Coturnix japonica: one gene and its partners. The protein of the gene in region 3 interacts with the protein of the main gene of each other region in a pairwise test. Links are inferred from orthologs where the notes say so. Each region holds a gene or a part of one and is shown on either strand. Other genes may lie near its edges.

Evidence for each region.
Region 1: the proteins of ZNF385C (region 3) and THAP1 interact in a two-hybrid assay, tested with the Homo sapiens proteins (3 studies listed by BioGRID). The two-hybrid records come from large-scale screens. The link is inferred for Coturnix japonica from reciprocal best matches to the Homo sapiens genes ZNF385C and THAP1.
Region 2: the proteins of ZNF385C (region 3) and PSMA3 interact in a two-hybrid assay, tested with the Homo sapiens proteins (2 studies listed by BioGRID). The two-hybrid records come from large-scale screens. The link is inferred for Coturnix japonica from reciprocal best matches to the Homo sapiens genes ZNF385C and PSMA3.
Region 4: the proteins of ZNF385C (region 3) and BOLL interact in a two-hybrid assay, tested with the Homo sapiens proteins (2 studies listed by BioGRID). The two-hybrid records come from large-scale screens. The link is inferred for Coturnix japonica from reciprocal best matches to the Homo sapiens genes ZNF385C and BOLL.

What each region holds. Positions count from the first base shown.
Region 1 is NC_029547.1:47,538,683-47,545,198, reverse strand, and holds the start of THAP1 (THAP domain-containing protein 1), read left to right. Parts: upstream 1-2,642; 5' UTR 2,643-2,683; coding exon 2,684-2,754; intron 2,755-2,944; coding exon 2,945-3,140; intron 3,141-6,055; coding exon 6,056-6,516. Other genes in the region: transcription factor jun-D-like, read right to left, coding at 410-1,681. UniProt on the Homo sapiens protein: DNA-binding transcription regulator that regulates endothelial cell proliferation and G1/S cell-cycle progression.
Region 2 is NC_029520.1:50,258,058-50,263,002, forward strand, and holds part of PSMA3 (proteasome subunit alpha type-3), read right to left. Parts: intron 4,678-4,945; coding exon 4,554-4,677; intron 4,471-4,553; coding exon 4,369-4,470; intron 4,242-4,368; coding exon 4,168-4,241; intron 3,664-4,167; coding exon 3,591-3,663; intron 3,074-3,590; coding exon 3,008-3,073; intron 3,007-3,007; exon of another isoform or gene 2,526-3,006; intron 1,196-2,525; coding exon 1,149-1,195; intron 1-1,148. UniProt on the Homo sapiens protein: Component of the 20S core proteasome complex involved in the proteolytic degradation of most intracellular proteins. This complex plays numerous essential roles within the cell by associating with different regulatory particles.
Region 3 is NC_029542.1:4,426,180-4,432,870, reverse strand, and holds the start of ZNF385C (zinc finger protein 385C), read left to right. Parts: upstream 1-2,761; 5' UTR 2,762-2,788; coding exon 2,789-2,918; intron 2,919-6,691.
Region 4 is NC_029522.1:8,891,642-8,897,666, forward strand, and holds part of BOLL (protein boule-like), read right to left. Parts: intron 5,112-6,025; coding exon 5,036-5,111; intron 1,699-5,035; coding exon 1,571-1,698; intron 584-1,570; coding exon 512-583; intron 1-511. UniProt on the Homo sapiens protein: Probable RNA-binding protein, which may be required during spermatogenesis. May act by binding to the 3'-UTR of mRNAs and regulating their translation.

The DNA of each region.
Region 1 (6,516 bases), on a different chromosome or scaffold from region 3:
AAAATATACAGAGCCATATTATGCTTTAAATATATCTATGTACACACACATCTCTTCCAAAGGGCACAATTCTGGCCTTTTTTTTTTTTTTTTTTTTCCTGTTTTCCTTTTTCTCCAAACTCTGAGAAGCTTATCGATTGCTATACACTCCAGTACGGCGCGTTAGGAAACATATATATATATATATATATTATTTTTTTATCCCCACGTGAAAGTAAAGTTCAGTCTTTCTGTAAACAGGAGTTACCTTAACCTCCGACACCTCCACATGCCTGGCGCACTCGGCCCGGCGCACAGCCCCGGCTCGCACAGCGGCACAGCGCGGAAATCAACGGGCGCGGCCCAGCACAGCACAGCACAGCGCAGCACGGCGGCCCCGCTCCGTGTCTCCCGCTCCCTCGGCCACTCCTCAGCAGGCGCCGGCCTCGGGCGCGGTGGCGGCGGCCTCCGGGGGCGGCTCGCGGGGCGGCGGCCCGGAGGGAGCGGCGGCGTTGATGTGGCAGCCGGAGGAGAGGTGGCTGCGGACGCGGCCCTGCAGCTGAGTGACCTGTGCGCGCAGCAGGTTGGCGGTGGCGGCCAGCTCGGCGTTCTGCCCCTTCAGCGCCTTCACCTTCTCCTCCAGCCGGGCGATCCGCTCCAGCTTCCTCCGGCGGCACTTGGAGGCCGCGATGCGGTTCCGAAGCCGCTTGCGCTCCGCCTTCAGGCGCTCCTGGCTCTCCGCGTCCAGCGGCGACAGCGACGGCGGCGTCGGGGCGCTGCCTCCTCCCTCCCCGCTGGCGGCGGGCGGCACGTCGGGCACAGTCTGCGGCTCCTCCAGGGCCCGCGGTGCCGGCAGCCGCCCCGCGCCCAGCCCCGCCGGCCCGAACGGCAGCCCCGGCGGCGGCGGAGGAGGAGGGGGCGGCGGCGGCGCGGAGGCGGCGGGATAGGCGCTGCCCGAGGGGCTGAGCGGCCCCGCGGGGGTGAAGCCGCTCAGGTTGGTGTAGACGGCGGGCGGCTCGGCGGCGGCCCCGGGGCGGGCCGGGCAGCAGGGCCCCGGCGGGGAGAGCGGCGGCGCGCTCAGCAGCTGGTTCTGCTTGTGCAGGTCGGCCAGGGCCTTAACGAAGCCGTCGGCGAAGCCCTCCTGCTCCTGCGTCACCGGCTGTCGGTACAGGAACGTTCCCGCCGCCGCCGGCCCGCCGGCTCCCCCGGCCGCCGCCGGTCCCGGGCTGCCGGGCCCCAGCCCCGCGCCGCCCTGGATGAGCAGCTGCTCCAGGTCGGCGGCCGGCGGCAGCTTCAGCAACGGCAGCTCCGCCGCCGAGCCCAGCGCGGCCTCCGGTCCGCCGCGGTTCGCCGCCGCCCCGGCGCCGGCCCCCGCCGAGCCCTGCGCCGAGCCCGGGGGCGGCGGGGGAGCGGCGGAGGGCGGCAGCAGGCGCAGGGCGGCCGCGCTGCCGCGGGCGCTGCCGGGCGGGCGCAGGGCGAAGGGCCCGGGCAGCGGCGAGGGGGCGGCGGGCGGCAGGTCGCGCTTCTTCCCGGCTCCCAGCAGTAGCTTCGGGCCCGCCGCCGCCTCGGCGCCGGGTCCTGCGGTGGCGGTGGCGGCGAAACCCGGCAGCGGCACGAAGTCGGGCAGCAGCTCCAGCCCTTCCTCGGGGTAGAACGGCGCCTCCATCTTCACGGCGGCTCTCCCGCTCCGCCCGCCGCTCATGCTGCCGGCCGGCCGGGGCGCGGCGCGGCGCGGCGCTCCCCGGTGCCCGCCCTGCGGCGGCGGCGGCTGTGTGTCGCGGCGCGGCTGCGTTCGGCGGGGGCCCGCAACCCTCGGCTCTCAGCGGGGACTGAGCCGCCTCCCGGCGCCACCGGCCCCACGCCCCGCCCCGGTCCCGCCGTCTGCCCGCCCCAACGCCGCCGCCTCCCCCGAGCTCCCCGCCGCCGGCCCCCGGCTCAGAGGGGCTGCGCGGGGCTCCGCGAGGGGCCGCGCTCCGAATTCGGCGCTCGCTTATAGACCGGCTTATTGCCCTTCTCTCCATCCTGTGTCTCTGAGGGGTTCCGGACCCCATCCTGGAGCTGCTTCGCGCGGCTCCTGCCCTTTGCTCCCGCTGTGGGTGCGCCATAGGGCGCTGCCCGCACCCCTGCTCCCGACACCAGCGCCCGCTGCCCGCCCCGCACGGGACAGCGAGATCGGGACATGGGGCGCTCCGGGGGAACGGCCCGCTGCTGTTAGTCGCTGGTGTAATACAGGGAATGGTACGGCGGAGCGCACTCCGCGTTAACTTTTTGTACTCCATCGCGTCGGTGTATTGTTAGCTCACCCTAACACCTCAGCAGGGCCCAGCAGCCCACACACACCCGCACCCCATCCCGCCCTGGGGGCGCTCTGCCGCCGCGCCGCAGCTGCCCCTGAGGTAGTTCCGGAGCGAGGGGCGGGAGCAAGGCAGAGCGCCGCTCCGATTGGACGATCTGCTTCCCGAGGCCCCGCCCCCCATGAGAGGACCCACCAATGGGCAAGGGCGGCGCGCCGTAGCACCGCGAGAGTTGCTCTGAAGCTGGTGCCGCCATCTTGGAGTTGGGAGAGGCCGCGTCCCGTTGCCGTCCCTCTCGGAGGGTCACCGGCGGGGGGGGACGGGGCACGATGGCGGCCCCACGGTGAGCGGACGGCACCTGGGAGCCCCTCCTCGCGCCGCTGGGCGGCGGCGGCCGCGGGGCCGGCGGGATGGTGCAGTCGTGTTCTGCCTACCGCTGCCGGAACCGATACGACAAAGAGAAGCCCATCTCCTTCCACAAGTGAGCGCGGGCGGCGGGACGGGGTGGGGCGGGGCGGGGCGGGGCGGGCAGGGCGCCAGGGCGGGGACAGGGCCGCGGGTGTGCGACCTCCCGACGCAAGGGGGCGCTGGGCGGCGGGAGAGGGGCTGGGATGGTGGGCCCGGCGTGAATAAAGAGTTTGAGAAACGCTGAAAATAGCTGTTGTTGTCAGGTTTCCTTTGACCAGGCCTGACCTGTGCAAGAAATGGGAGGCGGCGGTGAAAAGGAAAAACTTCAAACCCACCAAGTACAGCAGCATCTGCTCCGAGCACTTCACGCCCGACTGCTTCAAGCGGGAGTGCAACAACAAGCTGCTGAAAGAAAATGCTGTGCCCACTATATTCTGTTACACTGAGCCCAGTGAAAAGGTAAGCGCACACTGCTCACAGCCCCAGGTGCCGAAATGCACTGTGCAGCTTCTCCTGTCATTAAGGCCATTTGTCATCACTGCAGTTGTGTTACTGGTGCTGTCCTGTTGTAACAACTGCAGGCTGACATTTGTATCTGGGTGTTAACTGCACTGGGTAGGGCTTTGATTGTTCACAATCAGACCATCCCAAAAATATGACAGATAATACAAGGCCCTGGGACTTTTCAGGACTGATGGCCCATTCTTTCTCCTGTAAATCAGAAGACAGTGCTTGCTGTGTTCTTTATTGCAGATAGAGTTGCAGAGGCTAGTATTAAATCATCAGCATAATGTTATAGCTTCACATCAGGTGTCTTGTTCTAGTTAGCCAGGTCCAGAGCTATTAAGTCATGGCTACAGGTAGGACTATCCAGATGCCCCTGTGAAAGAACCCAAAAAGTCCAGCCTCCTACAAAATAGCATTAACTGCAAAATTGTGTTATAATTCAGAGCACCATCTGCTAGCCACTTTTCTTGATCTTCCAGAGTATGTGTTGGCCACCACTGACAATATATAAAACTAGTGCCTGTCTGTTGAATATTGAACATATTTAGGCAGTTTACTTGTGTTCCAGAGCTAACATAAACCCTTTCTCATGCTCAGGGCATCATCTGTATTTTTCCACACAGTATACAATGTTCGATTTAATGCAGAAATAAAGAAGGAACATCTAGAAAATGAAAAGTGGAAATAATAGGCAAGAGACCATACATAGCACAAGGTATAAAGTGAAATGTGGACCATTTTCAGGTCTGCTTTTTGTGCTAAGATCTGTTTGATGACGGTTCCCCACAATCTTAGCAACATATTTCCTATGTCACTTAAAATTGTTTGCAAAACTTATTGCAGTGTGAAAGCTGAAGGTATTTAATATTGACATCAATGCAGTAGTTCTGAGCCACATTCTCTCATTCATTGCAGTACCTGGCTTTATGAGTGCACAGAACAGTGGCTCCTTATGGAAAAGGAGTTGGTGGTGCTACTATTTATGTCACAGCAGCTTTCAGTGTATCTTCAAGACATTGAATAGTAGTGAATAAGGACAGCATTTTTTTTAAATTCATACTGATTTTGAGATACAGCATTTTTTGCATCATAATTCTTGAAATACTTTTTTAGCTATGTCTGACAACCATTTACTGGATGTAAGAAGGAATAAGAACTCACTTGTGACGTGTGAGCAGTATGAACGATGAGCTCTCTGTGACACACAGTGACAGCAGTAACACAGCATGTGCTGCGTAGCTCTTGAATACATGCCTCTGTCTGAATGCAGCTGTCTGGCAACAATGCCATTTTTGCTCGTGCTTCTAACATGGGCAGAATTCTCTCTGCACATTATGTCTTTGGTTTGTCATCTTAGCTGAAAAGTTTGAAAGCTGTAGGTCAGACATTTTAGAATATTGGTATGTGATTTAGATGGACACACCTGGAGCATCCACTTCTTATAACTGAGAACTGACACAGGCAGTGGGCTGGTTTTGTACTTTAAAGTGATCAGTAATACCTGAGCAATGTGAAACTTCCCCTCAGTACCAGAAGTGGAACTGTGTTCTCAGTTCCTGTGCCTAATGTAGTTTGTACAAGGATGACATCTGTACTTCCCAATCTGACTGTTGACTTGTTCTTTATGTTAAGGCAAGAAGCTTAATAATGTGATCTTCCAGTCTCAAGAGGGGACAGTTGGTGGCTGTTAAAATTGAAGATGCGATCATCTTCATGCTTTTATTTGTAGTAATAATGTTGGGGACAGGGAATTAAAAAATCGGTTTCAGTGTCTCTTTCACTGAGACATTCTTAGGCTTTTGGGTTTTTTTTGGTTTTTTTTTTGTTTTTTTTTTTTTAAACGGGTAGTATACATTATGTGTGCATTTCTGAATAAAGTATGTTCCTCTGGGGCAGAATAATCAGAATTCTCTTTGACCTCCTCCCAAGTGATGACAGGTATGCATTGTTCTGAACCGTGCAAGTGTCTGAACCTATCTGGAGCAGTATGGTGAAGCCTGCAGTATGATGTGGGAATGAGCTCGCTTAGTGTTCTGCTCTATCCCATCTGCCAGCCACCCAGTCCTATTTTCTTACTCCTTCCATATGACAGCTCTCACTGCATGGCTTTGACTTTAATGCAGGACAGAACTTTATTGCAGCGATGGTGGAAGTGTGAATAGCTTTCTGTCATCTTAGCAACATCCTGTATTTAGGGAAGGATTCATAACAGAGCTGGGAGAGCTGTTTATTTTGGCTCATCACATCACCAAACCCTTCTGCTGCGATCCCAAAACAATGTGATGGTCAGTCCTAGTTGTGAAGAGCCAGATCTTCCTGTGTCTACTTTCTCTGCTCTGCCAGCTTGTCCATCTCCCTTAGTGAAATGGTTCTTATTTTGTCATAGCAGGGGATTCTCCAGTTCTGCTGTGCTCCTGGTTAGGTTAGCTGATGAGTTCAAAGTGTATGTGGTGAGATGCAGTAGAAAGAAAGAGGGACAAGAGGGAATGGGATGGACTTGATGAGCTACCGGGTCTGCTGAGCTCTTTTCACAGGACTGCATCCAGGATCCTCATCTAATCCTGGATATCTATTTCACGTGTCCTCAAAAGTGAGAATGACTTCTGGGCTCTTCAGTTTCAGATTTGTTCTAGACATCAAGGATTTGAGTTTCAAAAGAGTGGAAACAAAGTTGATTAAAATACTTTTGGTTTAGAAAACAGGCTAAATGAGCCAGTTTTGAAAACTGAGGCTTTGAAACATGTGGTGGGTATTTTTTAATTGTTTTTTTTTAAGTCCTAGTTGTTTATACCGTAGTTGCCCGTGCTAATGGAGTTGTGTTGCAAAAATGCTATGCTTACAAATGTACTTTTTTTGGTTTGTTTCAGCCTGAAGAATTTTCAGAGCAGCCAGAAGATCCGCTTCCACCACCTCCACCACCGCCACCTCCACCACCTCCACCGCCACCGCCGCCACCTGCAGCTCCCACGCTACCACCGTCTCCATCAGCTCCTTCTTTTCATTTATCTCAGATAGATGCTAGATTCGTAGATCCAAGTATCGGATTATTGATGCCTCCTCTCCAGACCCCTAGCAATCTTGCTGTTTTTTGTGATCACAATTATACCGTAGAGGATACAGTTCATCAGCGAAAAAGAATTCAGCAGCTAGAGGAACAAGTTGAAAAACTGCGGAAGAAGCTCAAGACAGCGCAGCAGCGATGCCGACGTCAGGAAAGACAGATTGAAAAACTGAGAGAGATTGTTCAGTTTCAGAAAGAAAAAGACATGCTGGCAGGAAAAGGCTATGTGATTCTGCCCAATGACTATTTCGAAGTTGTAGAAGTACC
Region 2 (4,945 bases), on a different chromosome or scaffold from region 3:
TACTCTGTTGAAACACCATTTCCTACATGTAATAGAAGCTTCCCCTCCTGCTTTCTCTTCAACCTCTCCTTTGTGCTCATCCCATTTCAAGAGGAAAAGAGTCTATCAGGGCATATTGTGGAGTAAAGCATTACTAAAACAGTGTGTTGCATGATTACAGATAAGATGCAAGGTACCCACGTAGGTGAGATGCTGAGTAACCCAATACAGAACATCACCTTTACAATAAATGTTATTTAAGATTCCAGTACTGTAGAACCAAGGCTATGACATCATTGCCTGCTTCTGCTCAATCAGTCACAGTGTGGCAGGAGCTCCCTGCATTTCCCCTGTAAATCTTGTTTCATCTTATACTTGAAACTAAATCTAAACACAACTGCTAATACACAACCTGTACGTAGAGCTCTCCATCCCATCTGCTAAGCCTACAACAACTTACAGCCTTGTGCTTTGTTTGTGCAGTTTCAGAGTCGTTTTGAGGTCCTTGTTATGTTTCAGGAGCAGAGAGCCCACACATTCTTTCCTTTAGCAGCTAACATGATAGCCTCTGACACAGCCACATAAATAAACTCACATGCTGCAACACCATTGATGGAAACATTTATTACTTCTTTATAACCTCTAAGGAACAGCCATAAAAGGCTGGAAATTATTTCTGTAGCTGCATATTATTAGATTTGTGACAAGTGCAGAAGTATCCCTGTAAGCATTAAGTACTGGAAACAGCCGAAAGGATACTTGTATTTATTTGAAGAGACCATAGACTGGCTTGGGTTGGAAGGGACCTCAAGGACCTTGAAGCTCCAACCCCCACCACATGCAGGGCCACCAACCTCCACATTGATACCAGCCCAGGCTGCCCAGGGCCCCATCCAGCCTGGCCTTGAACACCTCCAGGGATGGACGGGGCATCCACAGCGTCTCTGGGCAGCTGTTCCAGCACCTCACCACTCTCACAGTAAAGAACTTCCCCCAGCCCATCTCACAAGACAGATCTTAATAGAACACCAGACTAGAATCAGCACCAGCACTCATCTACAAAAGTGAAACCTGGTACCTCATGTAAAGGGAACAGCTTCACTTTGAAACCATAACAAGCCCACAAGCACCTATTTTTGCTGAGCTGGAGAAACACTCTGCAGACTTACATTTTCGCAACCTCTTTTACAACGTCACGGCAAGTCATTTCCTTCATCTGCAGACAAAAAACATACAGCTTAGCAGAACATCCTGTTTTGCATTTGGCCAGCAAACGAGGGACTGTGATGTGCCTATTCTCCACAATGCATCTTTCACTCACTAAAACATACCTGATTATTGATTAGACCAGCATATTTTACACCGAGCTTAGGGTAGAGCTTATGAGATACATGTAGTTTTACCATCTCAGATTCTCAACCACTTTGCAAAGCCATCGTACAGAAGTTGGTTGAGAAGCTGCTGAAGGACAGCAGTTCTTTCTTCATGCTGAGTCTGACAGCACTTCCTGTGTGTGTGTAATGCACACACCCAAGTACACAGTGGGCCAAAGGAAAAGGAAACGGCCCTGCTTAGGTAGATGTGCTGTCACATTTGCATTCCAACAAGTTTCCTAAACAGAGACACTGTCCCAGCCCTTCCATTTGTGACTCAATCCGTAACGCAGTGCTGACTTCTATTTATAAATCTAATCTGCGTCACACACCTATGTGTATTTAAGCACATGGAGTCAATAGTGAAACAAGAAAACCCAAAGGTCTGTTACTGTCATGTGTGTTTACAAAACAAAGCTTTCATTTATCTTTTGTCATTATTCTTTTCCTGGCCCAATCTTCCCCAAATAGGAAATACTGTAATTGTAATTAACTCCTGTAATTAACTCCCCATTATGTCCATATAAAAAAAGTCATAAATATGATCTGAAAATAACATGAGAAGCACTGCAGATGAACAGATTCAAGCAGGCCCCATGTGACAGAAGATACCAAATGTTTGCATAAGATGCAACAGATGTGATCAATGCAGTGCACCCCACCTGCAGTATAAGCTGCGTGTGCAGATCTCACGTACTGCATCCCCTCCCACATGCAGCACCTGCATTGCAGTACCTGCCAGACAGGTTTCAAGGTTATGATGATATTCTCACCTCTTTCTTTCCATCTACAGTCATCTTTCACAGGACAGATCCGCAGCTAATAGGATCATAGAATCAGCATGGAATCATAGAACAGCCCAGGTTGCAAAGGCCCACAGTGCTCACCCAGCTCCAACCCCCTGCTGTGTGCAGGGTCACCAACCAGCAGCCCAGGCTGCCCAGAGCCACATCCAGCCTGGCCTTGAATGCCTGCAGGGATGGGGCATCCACAGCCTCCTTAGGAAACCTGTTCCAGTGCGTCACCACCCTCTGGGGGAAAAACTTCCCCCAGTATCCAACCTAAACCTCCCCTGTCTCAGTTTAAAACCACTCCCCTTCATCTTATCACTATCCACCCCACCAAAGCGTTTGCATTTGTCTTCTTCCCATTTATGTTTTGTCATTCAATCAGGAAATCAGCTGAACAAAATCAGCTCTGCCCTGGAACCTGTCCAGCCCACCGTTACCAAGAAGCATCAGCACACAAGACCGCACTTGCTTCATGCTGCTCTGACCACATCACACTGAAAGCATTCTGCAAACAAGCCATGACAGATCAGCACAGCTGTGCTGTATGGCACACCCCTGTTCTCATCTACTGAACTTCACAGGCCCTACCATGAAGTTCAAGGAATACAAACACTGCAGCTCTACAAAAACAATTAGGCTGGTAACCAAAGAAGTGTATGTTTATGCTTCTCCTTTTAAAACTGTGTGCTCACTATGGACTTCCCATTGCCCAGGGTCAAGATGCCAGAAACACTGCTCCTATAGAGGCTAAGACAACGTATTAGGAAATACTTCTGCTTCTCTTGTACTTTATGAATTTAAGGCATCTAAAAAGGCAGAAATAATCCATCCTGAAAGCAACACAATAAAAGTGAAACAACCTACCTGAAGCTTTTCAATCTCTGTTTTTGCAGCCTGCCTGGCTTTACCGATGGCACAGCCCCAATAACCCTAAACAACAAAGAAAAGTGTAAGGTTAATGAAATACTACATCCACCACATACCTAACGACTCCTTCACTCCTGTAACAAGGCAGATACACAGCAAATGTTGGCACTGTTCTCTCTCAGGTGAGGTTCACAAGTTATTGGGTTAAGCACTGCCACCCTTGACAGAGCAATGCTAAGTAGATCCTCTGGGCACACACACACCTGCTCTGTTTGTCGCATAGGATCTTTTACTATAATTAAAGTAGAATTAGAAAAGACCACCACCAAAGCCCACCTAGCAGCCTCTGCACCTCAGTGTTTTGTGAGCGGAGTTATCACTGCAGCACTCAACCCTGCGGCAATGGATGGGACTCCTCATTGCATACAGGTGGAATGAACTCCCACATTTCTGAGAGCTTTAAAAACAGGCTTTATGGAAGCGGTGCTGCTTCTAAGAACTGCACGCCACGTTACTGATGTCCAGATTAGAAACCTCTAAAAGAGCAACTTAAAAGTAACAGTATTTCTGAAAGACTCACGTATGAAACTCCTGACGGGTCGATCATGTACAGTTGTGCGCCGTCATCGTCATCATAGGACCCCAACATGAAACTGGGTGAGAAAAAGCAAAATCAAACAGTCATTCTGCCAACCCACATACAGCAATGACAGCTAAATCAAGTCAGGGCTCCCCACTACCCTATTACACTCTGTAAGCAGTTTGTCTGAAGGCTCAGTGTTATCGTGACCCCAAAGCACCTGCAATTGACCAGAAATGTTTTACTTAACTATAACTACAGACCTCAGTTTGTTAGTTCCCTGGTAACCACAGCTGCATGGTAGTTATTACCTATTCTTTAGGGGATGATCACAAAGTTCTGCTTTCAAAATGGACACAGATTCAACATCAACTCCTCAGCTTTAAGCCTGATGGACAGGCATGCAGGCCATACACAGCCTGGTTTGCTCTGATGCAATAAAACAAAGGACAGGGGAAACTCTTCCCACTTCTTGGTTTATCGGTACCAAATGTGAAAAATGAGCTAAGACATAAACAGCTCCAGCCCTTCTGAAGCAAAAGGCCTTTACAAACAAGCACATGTTGGAAAGACCTACCTGCAACCAAAAGGTCTGACAGCGCTGTACAGTGTGTATGCATGCACGTACATGGCCACTCTGTCTGCAAGATGCTAAGGGGGAAAAGAAAAGCGGAGGCCTTTATTTGCAGAAATAAGTAAATCACAATTATTGCTTATGGTTATCGCTGTCAAGGTTAAAAAAGCCAAAAGCTCTGAGTGAACCGCGCTCATTTCTTACCTTCAGTGGAATGTCGTAGCCATAGTTAGTCCTGAAGTTAGAAGCTTCTTCTCTAGCTATGTCTGCCAACGAACGAGCATCTGCAAGCAGCCCCGCTACTGCCTGGAAGGAGAATTGCCATCACTGCATCTCTTTAATATTATTCTGAGCCCCTTCAAATCCTGAGAGCTTAAGCAGCCGCTCACCATTCCAACGTGCCGATCGACGTTGAAGAGACGTTTATTGGAGCCTTCTTCGTACAGCTTGGACAGAACGAGCTTTTCTACACCAAAGACAACGCCATCTTTGCACCTTATCCCAATGGCTGTACTGAAAGACAAGACAACAGGGAGTTTCTCTTACACTGAATAGAACCGTGCAGACAAGTAACAAAGAACAGCCTCAAGTTACGCCAGGGCATAGGTTGGATATTAGGAAACACTTCATTACAGAAAGGGTAGTTAAGTACTGGAATAGGCTGCCCAGGGAGGGGGTTGAATTGCCATCCCTGGATGTGTTTAAGAGCCGTTTGGATGCGGTGCTCAGGGATATGATGTAGCAGAGGGTTGTTAGAGTTGGGGTACTATGGTTGGGCTGC
Region 3 (6,691 bases):
CACATGTAATAAACCCATCTTTCTTCCTCTCCTCGCCTTTGGTAATGCCACCCAGGCTCGCAGATCCCTTCAAAGTGTTGCTCTTCCTTAAATATAAGTCTATTAAAAATTTAAACTGCTTTTCTATACAATAAAATTTACTCCCTGCAATTATGCAGCAGGGCTGGTTATCTTGTCTTTTGTAGGTTTTAATTAAAAGTGACGGGGGGAAGGGAAGAGCAACTGCTGTGCATTGCCATGCAATGCCATGCGTTGCCTTGTGTGCCAGTGGCTTTCCCAGCAGCAGGATGTAGTGCACACAGGGATGGAATTGGGGTACAGGGATGGATGTGGGGCCCTGGGGCACTGTGCACACCCCATCCTGATGTGCTGCCTTCCCAAGTTCTGGTGGAGCAGCTCCTGTCCTCCTGCCTGTATCTCCACCACGATGCCCCCCAGCTGTGTCCCCATGGACCCTGTAAAGATGCTTTTAACCCACGATGGCTGGAGTTGTTCCTCCTGCCCCGTCTCCCCATTGCCTCCCCCTTCTCCCAGCCATGAAGACACATCGATCTGGATTTGAAACATTTATGAAATCTTTACGGGCTTTTTGCAAAGGTTTTAATTCCCTGACAGCACTGCTCTCACCAAAGAAAAAAAGTATATTTATGACTCAAGGAGCAATTATAGGCTTAACAGCTGCTGAATGGCCGTGGCAGCTGCTGGAGCAGCTTGGCACAGCTCAGCACGGCCACGGAGGAGCCAGGGGGGCTTCCTGGAAAGTGGAGCTGGGACTGATTCCTCCCAGGGCAATGGCTGTGTGGGGTCTATGTGGGGCTCCCCATCCCTGCTGGCTGCACTGTGTCCCCATGGGCTGTATGTGCTGACTGTGTTGCTTTGCCCTTTCTCTTTGTGCCATGCTTCTCTATGGGAAAACAAGCTTTGGTGCCATCAGTTGGGGTTTGCTCTGAGCCACTTGGGTAGAAATGAGATGCTGCTGGGCAGCACTGTGCAGGAAGTAGGACAGATTGTGAGGTGAAAACATTTGTGTGAAGAATTTAATCAGCAAAACCCATTTGTCTGATGGAAAAGAGCAGCACCCTCAGAACCCCACTCAAAACTTCAGCTGGTGCAAATCTGTGCCCCATTAGGAGTAATTGGTGCCACCTGATCTTCTGCCTTGGAACAAGGCCTTCCCCAGCTGCAGGTGAGTTCATAATCTCCAGTCCTGATGTTAAGGTGGGGGGTATGACCAGCTGTGTGTGTTTGTGCTGGGGAGGGGCAGTAAGAGATTGTGAGGGTTAATGTGAGTGAAGAAAGTGGGCTGGAGCTGCAGCCCTGTGTGCTCCTTGGAGAGGATGGCTATGCTGTTAATTGTCAAGTTCTTGACAGTGAAGGTAATGCAAGGTTTGAGAGCCATTAGAGGGCCTGTAATTATTTATAGGAAGGGAAAAAATACCCAACATTGTAAAAATCAGATGGGGTGGCAAAAATATGCAGTAAGCTTTGGAGAAAGGATTCTTAGAAATCAAAATACTGAGAGATAGTGGCACTGCTCAGCTCTTCCAGCCCAGGTGGTGGCCAAGAAGGGAACCTTGGACTGACCAAGCAAAACTGAGCCTTGCTGGGCCACCAGCGTGCAGTCTGATGTCTGAGGCCCAGAAATTGCTGCTGTGGGCTCTGCCTCTGTGCCCGTGGGTTGCAGCTTGCAGGGCTGAGGTGGCCCTGTGGGTGCCCGCTGGGCTCTGTGTGTTCAGCAGAGCTCAGAGCCTGAAAGTCCTCAGTCCCTCTGCCAGCAGCTCTGGGGCCGATCGGACATTTCCATCCTGGCACTGGTTCTGCTTTTATGGCAAAGCAGCGTGTGGGTGAGAGCTGCTGGAGATGAGAGTCCCTGAGTGTGTCTGCTCGGAGCAGAGTGCTCTTGGCTGGGGAGCCCGGCAGGGCAGAGCAATTCCCTCTCACCCGGTCTGCAGAGCTTAATTAGCAGTTTGTGAAGTGCTTTGAGATCCTCTGTGTGATGTCCTGGAGGAGGGCAAAACGTGGTTACATAACGTGTCTAGACAGAATATTCCTTGGGGTGGGCAGTGGGGCTTTCTAAAATCCACTCTCTCGTGTCAGCACCGCGCAGCCCCGCTTAAAGGTTCTGGGAGCTGCTAAAATATTAATAACAGGAACAGTGATAGGAAAACATGTGCTTTCACACTCAAAAGGATGTTGATCTTAGCATGAGGCAGCTGGATGTCGGCAGAGCAGCAGCCTTTGCCTTGCAGGTGCCTTGCACTCCAGCAGAGATGGCTGAGGAGCAGCCCCACTTTGTGCTCCATGAGCAGCTGAGCCCCCCTGTGCACCCTGAGTGATGCACAGTGATGTCCCCAAGCTCCAGGACGGAGCCACCAGCAGAACCACAGCTCACACAGAGTCCCCTGATGTCACCTCTGCTGCTCCCAGGGCGTTAATTTTGTGTGGGGCTGAGCTCTCTGCTGATGCTCGGACCTACGGGATGTGGGAGCCTTTTCTTGGGGGTGATGGGGAAAGCTCAGAGGCAAAACTGAGACTTAGGTGCGTGGTGCTGGTGTCCCCAGCCCTGGGTGCCCTCTGCTGACCCTGCTCAGTGTGTCCACTCCGGCAACCACCGACCCCAATCCTTTGGGGGTGATGTGCAGCAGCAGAGCCGGGTGGGGGGCTCGGTTCCATGGGTACCCCGGGACCGAGGGGTGCCCGGACCATGCGGGACGCGGCCCTGGGATGCACGCGGTGCCGCTGGGGGGGAGCAGGGGGACGGGACCGCGGCGGTGCGCGCGCTGCCTTCATGCCCCCTTCCTCCTCCTCCTCCTCCTCCTCTCTTCCTCCTCCTCCTCCGGGAGCGCGCTCGCCCAGCCGGGAGCGAGCAGCCGGCGGGAGGATGCTGCAAACGGCGGCGGAGGCGGACGGCTGGGCAGGTAGGGCGGGCGGTGCGGGGGCCGCGATCCGGAGCGGGGTCGGGACAGCTGCGGCCAGAGCGAAGTTGTGGGAGGAGGGGGATGCGCCGGGAGGCTCCGAGGAGCCGAGCTGGATTCGTGCCGGGGTCAGCGCAGTGCCCGTGCCGCAATGCTCCGCTCCGCTGCCCCTCTCCATCCCGGCCGTTCCCCCGGCAGCGGGCAGCGCCGTGCCTCGGGGCGGCAGAGCCGGGACACAACCTCAGCTCCTCTGCCCCAATCGGAAGGCGTTGGGTCGGGAGGGAAACTTGTTCCGAGGAGCCCGGCAGGAGCCCTGGCTGCAGCCCTTCTCCTCGTGCTGCTGTCGGCTCAACGCGGGTCCGTTACCGGCGGGGTGCGAAGCGTCCCGCGGACACGGGGTCCCTGTGTGTGCCCAGCGGCCATCGGGCACACAGCGTGCGGCCCACGCGGGGCTGTGACCGTGGGCAGCAGCTCGGCCTGCGGGCTGCGTGCCGGGCTGGCCGTGAGCCTTCGGGGATGGCGTGGCCTGTACGGCGGCTGCGGGCACCCGTCTGTGCCCGTCCCCGGGTGGCACAGCCGGGCACAAGCGGCGCCGCTGCTCGCGGTGCTGGCTGTGATGGAGCGCGGCGGGGACGGTGCTGAGCTCAGAGCCGCGGTTCGCCACAGGGCTGCTCATTGGGTACTCGGCTTTTAAAGCAAAGGACTTTTCCTGACGGCCCACAATGTGCTTTTTGTCAATGAGCAACGGGCCGGGAGGGCAGTGGGGTGGGATGGGAGCTGGGACGCTCCTCGTCCGGCAGACTGCGCCCGCCCTCAGCCTTCAGCGCTGTGCTCTGCTATAAGCCCGAAGCGGCACGGAGCTGTCGCTGGGATGCGCTCCAAGTTGTGCTGCACTGGGCAGGGCTGGGAGCAAACCCCGCACGCCAGGATGGGGTGGGACGGTGCATCCACAACCTGCCCTGCTGGGCGGCAGCTGCTGCTTCTGCCGGTGTTTTTCTGTGGCTCTGTATGGGTGAGAGAGGAGCCACCCCGCTCAGCTGGTGGAACTCTGCTGACAATAAACTCTCGCCATATGTAGAGTTGAGAATCAGGCTGGCAATAATGTGTGCTGTGGGATTTTTTCCTTGTTCCGTAATCCTCTGCATGCATTTATAAAACCGGCTCATATAATCCTGCGTGCAAATGTGCAAAGCTCTGCTCTGAGCTCTTGGGGTGCTGCGCTGTGCCCTCAGTGCCCGAGCTCAGCTCTTGCACCGTGTTCTGTGTGATGTGCTCCCCAGCTTTGGTGTCTGCTTGGATGGTGCTTTGCTTTGAAAAAAGAGCCTGTGCCCTGTGCTGATCTACTGGGAGATCACTGGGGAGATCTGTGCGCTTCCAGGAGTGTGACGTGGAGCTGGTATCAAATAAATGGGGATCTGTGTACGGATGCTCTCAGCAGAGCACTGGAAAAGTTAATCGAGTCACTTTCTGCTATGGAGTTTGCAGGGTGGGAAGCAGACAGGTCCTGGAAGCACAGTGTGATCTGCAGAGTGTGGCTGGTGTGAAGGAGAGGGGTGGGAGCTGCTCTCAGCTCTGGCTGCTGCTGAACCCTCATCCCAATATCTCAGCCCATTCGGGAGCTGTGGCGGAATGTTCTGAGTGCGCAGCCTGTGGTTCTGCCCTTCGTTGCTCCCAGAGGAAAGAAAAATGCAAAAGCGTGCGCCTGGAGTGGAGTAATGAAGCCCAGGAGGCTCCGTTTGTCAATGCAGAAACAATATTGTGATGTTCAGAGGCTGTTTCTTAGCTGGATGCTCTCAGATTGCCTCCAAAAGAGTGTCATTATTTATGTGTCAAGAAGCCCCTGTCAAGAATTATATCTGTGATCTCGAGGAAAGTTGGTCTGTGGCTGCGTGGTAACAAGTGCCCACTCCTGATTGGAGCCACAGTAATTTACCTGCAAGTTGTAAATATGGACCTGTGCATTTAGGGAGCTGTGGGGAGCTCAGGAGTGAGCTGTGGCTGCAGTGATGTGCTGGGGTTCCTGGATGCCCACACAGCTCAAACCATGATTGTAACAGCAGTCCTGGTGGGGAGCTGCACCCCCTGAGCCCAGCGACCATGGGCCCCATCTGCAATAGGGTTAGTGCTGCCCAGGGGGCCCAGCTCCACACTGCACTGCACACGGCTCAGGGCTGTTTTGAAATGGGAACGTTCCCAAGTCATGATTTTCTCCAGCCTCACTATGGAAATTTTTTAATTAGTTGATAAGAAAGATCGCTTGGAAATTGCAAGGGAAATGGTTTGAGGTTGAGCCCTAATCTGTGCCTGTATCTGCCTGGAGACAGGAGCTGCTCTGTCTGCATGGAGCTCGGGGAGGTCTGGAGGAGGTTCAGGTGTGGGGGGTACACACTGTCATGGGGAGCAGGGGGGGTTCCTGCAGTCACTGCTCTTTGGGCCCTTCACTGCCTTTAAACCAGGATGAGCAATGCAGAGCACAGCATGATGCTCCTTTGGAAGTGTGGCAGAGAACAGTGGGACTTTTAGGGGTTTTGTTCTGAGTCTCTGAGAGGATGAGAAGTGTGGGGCTGTTGACCTGGCAGCAGTGGCAACTGAGGAAGGGTTTGGGGGCAGAGGACCCCCTGTCTGCTTGAACTGCTACAGCAGAGCTTTAGTTGAGTGGCAGTGAGGGCACAGCACTGGGAGCACTGGTCCCACACGGCCCCACTCTGCTGCTGTTTCTTGTGGGTGCTGCCCTTTGATAGAGCTGTAGCTGTGTGAGCGGGGCAATGGAAGCTTCATGCTCCCTCATCCATCACTGGAACCATCCTCTGCTCTCTCCTCGGTTGACCTGCAGGTCACAGAGATGGAAAGGAAAAGGGAGATGGGAAGGGCAGCTGTGAGTCAGTGTGTTCAAAACCCCAAAGTCTTGTGGGGCGGGTCGGGGCACCGCAGGTGGTGCAGAGGATGGGATTCGCTGTCCTCCCTGCGTGGCCCTCCAGGGGCTGCCCCCGCCTGCTCCCAGCCCACGGGGCGGCGATGAACGACCCCCAGAGGGGAAGCGGCCCTGGTGGTTCTCCCCGTCTGCTCCTCCTTGCGCTGAGCAGGAGCTGCTGCGGCGCTCCCTGTGCCGTGACCTCGTGCTGCGCTCCGGGAGCAGCGCTGAGCAGGGAGGTTGTTTGCTGCTTGGGAAGGGAACAACCCGAGGGCAGGTGGGGCTGCGATCCGTGAGGCTCCTGCTGAATCAAGACCTCTTTTATTTGTGTTTTTATTTGATGTGTCACTTTTTCTGTTGGTGTTCGCCATCCGTTCCCCCTCCCGGAGAAGCGTTGGGAGCAGGAAGGCGCACACAGCCCTGTTTGTTTTGGTCGGGAGCGCCGCTGCTTTGCATTCGTTTGAACTGCTGGAAGCGGCTCAGCCCAGGAGATGCACTGCGTGCTCTACGGCTGGAGTTTCTTTTGAGGAACCCTGAAATGTTTATAGAGAGAGGGGGAAAAAAACTCCCTGACAAGAGCAGCTTGTTGCTGAGCCAGCGGCTGTTGGGGTGTGTTGGTACCGGGGGGGTTGCAGCTCTGCAGTGTTGGGTCCCCCATAGCAGAGCCTGCCCATGGCCACGCAAAAGCAAAGGCCATGAATATCCCACCTCCAAATTTTCAAGAAGTATTAGGAACTCTGCGGGCTTATTTCTGAGCATCTTTATGAAAGGGCTTTAAGGGATTAACGCGTGCTCAGATTAATCTCTGCTGCTGAGGCCCAGTGTGCGAAATGAACACTTTGAGGGTGCTCCTGGGGGCACGAGG
Region 4 (6,025 bases), on a different chromosome or scaffold from region 3:
CATAAGAGTTGACAAACATGTATTAGAACTTGGAAAATTCTCAAAGAGAAGGAGAAGAATAAAAACAATACAAAACAAAAGCTCCCAAGCCTTTCACCTGGAGAAAGATCATCTACTGGAAGAGGCTACCCAGACAGGATATGTAATCTCCCTTGTTGGAAACTTGTAAAATTGAACTGGACAAATGTTGGAGATTCTCTGCCTAACCAGTACTGCTCTGAGTGGGAATCTGGCTTAGAAAAACTAAACAAATCCTTAAGAACAGCACTAAACCAGTTTTCTAGCAACCAAGAAAACACCAATTTACTCCATTTCCACGCAATTAAATAGGAAGGTAGAAACTGTATTCTATTGGGGGTGGGGGGGAAGTCTTCAATGAAATTGAAATTGGTTTTACAGAATTTTTTCTTATTTTCAAAGAATAAACAGAACTGAGATTGTGCTGCAAACAAAACTGCACAGCTGACTGGAAAGAATCCTGCCGCTCTGGAACTCATTTGCAAACAGATACCTGATAATGGTAAGTAGGAGGCTGATAAACTGGTTGCGTTACCATCATAGGTGAACTGGAAACGGAGCGTGACTTAAAAAGACAAAAAAGTTACAAGTCAATGCAGCTATTTCATAATTTGTCACTCCTGTTAAGACCCAATATTAAGTACTATATGCTGAATTGTGTCCCCCACCCTTTTAAAAATGGATTGACCATATTTTAACTTTCATTTGAATTTTTCAAGATCACTACTTGCAAGGAGCCTGCATTACAGATGAAGTAAAAGCATGTCTTACTATCATTGTATTAAGTGCCTTCTGAAATTGGATAAGCTCACCCACTATTATACTGACTGCACACACATTCCTGTAACAATTTTAGTCAATATAAATTATCAATGAGGTATTCCTACCCCCTCATAGACCCATTCCTTTCTTCTATTTTCCAAGTCTTTACTTACACCAGCCACAGTATTCATCTGACTGGGCAGTGATCCAGGAACTAAACTAGCTGAAAACTTATTTTCTATTTTGTAGGGTCAGAAAAACATCAATGAAAGGAAGGAGTCAATTTCTCCATACCCACTAAAGCCAAGTATTTCATCTACTGCATTCTTCCTCCTAAAATAAGAAGCACTCCCGGATAGACAGGAATAATAATAAAAAGGAGTATGGATGGGACTTAAGGTTAAGTATAAAAACTTAAGTTTCAGCATTAACTTCTTTTATATTCAACACAGTGGCCACAGCAGCCAGGAACACCTCACCCATGGAGCAATGAAAACTGAAGCCAACCAAGGACCATAAGCACCAACGAATCCTCAGTAACAAAACTTCTGGGGCAATGACTACACTGATTCTGAACGAATTCTGTCCCATTCAGTCACACCAAAGCAAATCCCTCCACAGAAAAACAATAAACTTAAGTAATGTGTTTTAAATCTGAATACAAGAAAGAAACCCCTTAAATATCAAAGATAAGGTGTAGCTGGAGAAACCAGAAGTAAAAGGGACTTGGAAACCCTGTATTCATCTTGGACTTCAGAAAAACATACATACAGAAAAATCAATTACTTACTGGCCATGGCTGCTGAACAGAAGCAACTTCAGGAGTATGAAAATAAGCCACTCCATTATGGTAAATATAAGGATATCCACTGGAAGTTGTTAAGTACATTGTACCACCTTCTTGTATTACATTAGAACCTGAAATCATTTTTGAAGATGAGTTACTTAACAGTATTTATTGACCAATGCAAAAGTCATAAAGAGGAAGGAAAGATCATTTCTGATCTTCAGAAATGCAAAACATTCAAAGGAAAGAACATGGGAAAGAACGTGCCACCTCAGCTCCATCTCAAACAAAGAATCACAGGCTGATGCTGGGGTAGATGGGAAGGGGTATGGAATATAACATGCATTTTGATTACTAAACACAGACAACTCCAATTACCAGCAAATAATTTTTTTTTAAATCTTCAAATGTCCAAAGGTAACTTCACATTGTGGGAGATTTTCATTGGTAACCTCCACATACTCATATTAAGCTGAAACAGGATCCAAGCACTAAAAACAACAGAAGGATTTCATTATAAAATGCAACCCGATTTCTCAAAGCACAAAAACTGTGTGATGGCACATTTCCTGACGTAAGAACAGATATCCAGATGTCAGCAATGGGAATGCTACCGCACAGGCTATAATGCTCTGACCCCAAAGCACAGTTCCAACTGTACAGCTACCAGGTATTGACAGTAAGCTCTGCTCAATAAGGAGGCTTCCATTCCTATGTAGAGGCTGCTTTCCTCAATCACTGCTTTTGGAATCACCTGGAGTCTGTTCCTATCTGCGTTTCGTGGGTAAGTAGAAAGAACAATGTTAAAGAAAAGTTTCAGTTCCAAATATACACGATGCAAAGGAAAAAAAAAAGAAATAAAAAAATAAAGGAAAAATGATTCTGTAACCAAAAGAAATTCTGAAATCACATTTAACATGCAAAACAAATAAATGAAGAAAAACACAAGATGGAGAGCATCATCCCTTTGCAGCTTCCTTGCAAAACTGCATCAGGAAATGCCATTTTATGGACAGGTACGTGCCAAGTGGATTGCCACAAAGGTAAGTGGAGACCAAAAAGGACCTCGCTATGATTCAAACTGCCTTCATGGATGCTAGGAGTTCAACTGACTCCTTGAAAAACTTGAGGATGCTTGTTTACATCAAAGCTGAAATATTACCCATTGAAAAATCATATGCTAAGTTGACTCTTAGCAGAGTTAAACAGATGTGAGAAAAATTAGAGACTACCTGAATTCCAGTAAGCATTCTAGAAAAGCATTCTTGCTATCTCAAATGAAGAAACCAAGCGAATTCCCTGATCAACTATCCTATCCACTTTGCCAAATACAGAGCAGTTAGTAAATATATATATATATAATCTATATATATATATATATAATTAATAATAAATAAATAAATGAATGAATGAATAAATAGAACAATGAAAACCATACAAACTGGAAGAAAAGGTTCTTTATAAAACCCAAACTCACTGCAATGGAAAAATGGAAGAACTTGGATGAGGCAGAGCTAAGCTGAAGCTTACGAGATCCAATCACAACTGTACTGCAAGTACATAAGCATTTTCATTCATAATCTGTGGCTATTTTAAATCAGACACCTGTATTTGAGACCATCCTGGAGGATAAATACAAACTAGATTCATGTTCTAGTAAATCTAGATTCACTAGATACTTACAAATGACGGATGCACTTTGCATTCCGTATACGTAACTGCTCTTGACTGAACCAAGACAAACTCACTGCCTGGACTAGAACATGATATATTCTTATGCCAGATTTGCATGGATTTAATTGTAAGAATACCAACCATCCCAATATGGTCAAAGCTCTTCAGAGAAAATGTCCTGCGTTAATAGCAAAGATGAAAATTGCTCTGATCAACAGTAGAGAAAGACAGCAACTCAGTTAGTTGGGCTGGAAAAGACTGATAAATGAGAGTATCAAAGGAACAATCATTTAAATTCTGCTAACTAAAACAGTTACAGTGACACTGTGACTCTAGTTTTCATGGCTTCACAGGCCTCCAAATGATCAAATTAACTCCATGACTAAGGTTAGTGGGTTGAGCATGACAGCAGACGAATTGAAATTAGATCCCAGGATGTGTATCTGGATGCCAACTGTATCTTCTAACACTGTCTGATTATAGGCACACCGGGCACAAGCATCAGGAGAATGAAGCCATGCAAGTGCAGCAACGCACTTGAGAATCTTCAAGTCAAAGACAAAAAGGGAAACAAAGCAATGCAAACAGATCAAGCAACAAGAAAAAACCACCAGAAACAAACAAAACCCACAATCAAACATGTAACACCTTGATGATGGCTGAGCGAAGATTGCACAATTATTTCCTAAGCAAAGAAACAATACAGAAGAAACAAAGAATTTCCACTCTCCTGGGCAAATCTTACTCTACACACTTAAGGGGGAGAGGGGCGTACCTAAGCATATAGAAGTACAAATCTCCTTTCACGTGAAGGTATGTCTGCAGCATCAGTAGTAGCGTACATATGAACTACCTCTTAATAAATTGACAGCAAAAACTAAGAAAACTATACAGTTAAAACTAAAATTCCACAGAACAGAACAGGTCCAAAAGTGTGTGTTCCGCCGCTCCCCTCCAAAAGGTACCGTAAGATGAACACTGAAGTACAAAGATAAGCTTCATTTGCTTCTGCACTTCTCAAGTAATGCATTTTACTTCTGATTTTTATAGACATCACTGAGGAATAACAAAATAGCCGGCATAAAAAAGCTGGCAGTTCTCATCCTGAAAGTTAGAGGTTTACACCTTTTGCAATACATTACGGAAACTAAACAGTGCCTAGCAGAAGGTGATGGTACATTCTCTAAGAGGAAGCCTAAAAAATTGAACGATTATCCCCACAGAACTTCTTAACAGCATACTTGACCAAAGTAACAAACCAATAGTTGGCCACCTGACCAATAGTTCTCTCATGTATGCTTTCAGTTTAAGCAGTTCTTTGCCAGAAAAGGAACCTTTAGCAACTCTGCCTTTATTTTAAAGGACAGAAACCTAAGAATTTAGTGGAGACAACAAATACCCGCTCATTATAGTTTCTACTGAACAAAGCAAGATGCCATGGTTCTGAGGGATTTTGCTACTAACTAGTAATAACACACAGAACCAGGAAAGTCTGCTGAACAATTTGTGAGGACAGTGTTTAGAACTGAGGTTCTGCCATGTAACTATGATAAGATTCCATTCCCCTTGCTCCTACATAAATCATCATCCCAAGAGAGCAAACAATACACTAAGGAGGAGAAAAAAGTTCTGAAGATCAATCCTGGACTTGCCAAATCTGGATTTATCCACTGGTACACATTTATTCTGTGTTCTCTTTATAGCATTAAAACAACACATGATCAGGCACATCTTGGTTAAAAATGAGATGTGCAATGACATATATAATAGACAAGTGCAAGTGAATATACATACGGGGAATCCGTGTTTGTTGTTTTCTTATTGCAGGACCAATATTCAACTTCTTATCCTTGTAATTAAGTTTTTTAGCCTAGAATTTAAAAAAAAAAAAAAGTACTCAGTATTAGGTTTTTTTTACATAGATCAAGGCATTTAAAACAACAACAAAAACCAGAGACACTGCTTCTTATTTAGAACACATATTGACAAAACAAGAACCACATTAGCTTCTTCTTTAACCTGATCTTAGACTACACATACATAAAAGCCACCATTACTTATCTCAAGTATTCCTTACTCATCATAGAGCCTCCTGACTAACAGCTACCTTTAATTCTCAGTTTTTTGTTTGTTCTACCCTTCTGCTCATACAGGCATGTTTCTACTACTAGAATAAAAAGTAAACATATTTAGAAATGGACAATTTCAAGTATAAACTTATTTTTTTCATAATTACAGCCTTGTTTTTATAAAGCAACTTATAAGAACAAGTCTACAAGAAGGACCAGAGTATAAGGACTGAACGTAATAAAAAGCTTAAATTTTATGTGAGACCTTGGGACTGCCTTAAACCCGTGTTACCTTCCTTACATCCATGCTAACAAATGACAAAATAAATAAAAATCAAAAGATGTCCTAATAGCAGAATACCTTAAAAAAGTGTGCAAAGAACCAACAAATTATACAGTCTTCTGATTCCCACTTAGCCCTAACTGCTACCCTACTATGCCACAAAGTTTTCAGCGTCAGGTGTAATTTCTCTACTGCAAATACACCAACTAATCCTATTGAAAACTGAGCAATTTCCCCTCCCAAAAACTACTGTCAGTTTCACTCCAACCACATTCCTCCACAGACAACACAGGGTGACTCTTCTCAACATACTCCATTCCTGTGATCCATCAGAATTCACGCTGCCTTTTTAAATACGACTTACACAGTTAAATATATATCTAATCAGTGCAGATTTCTTCAAAGCATTCGATATGGCACTGCATGAAAAAT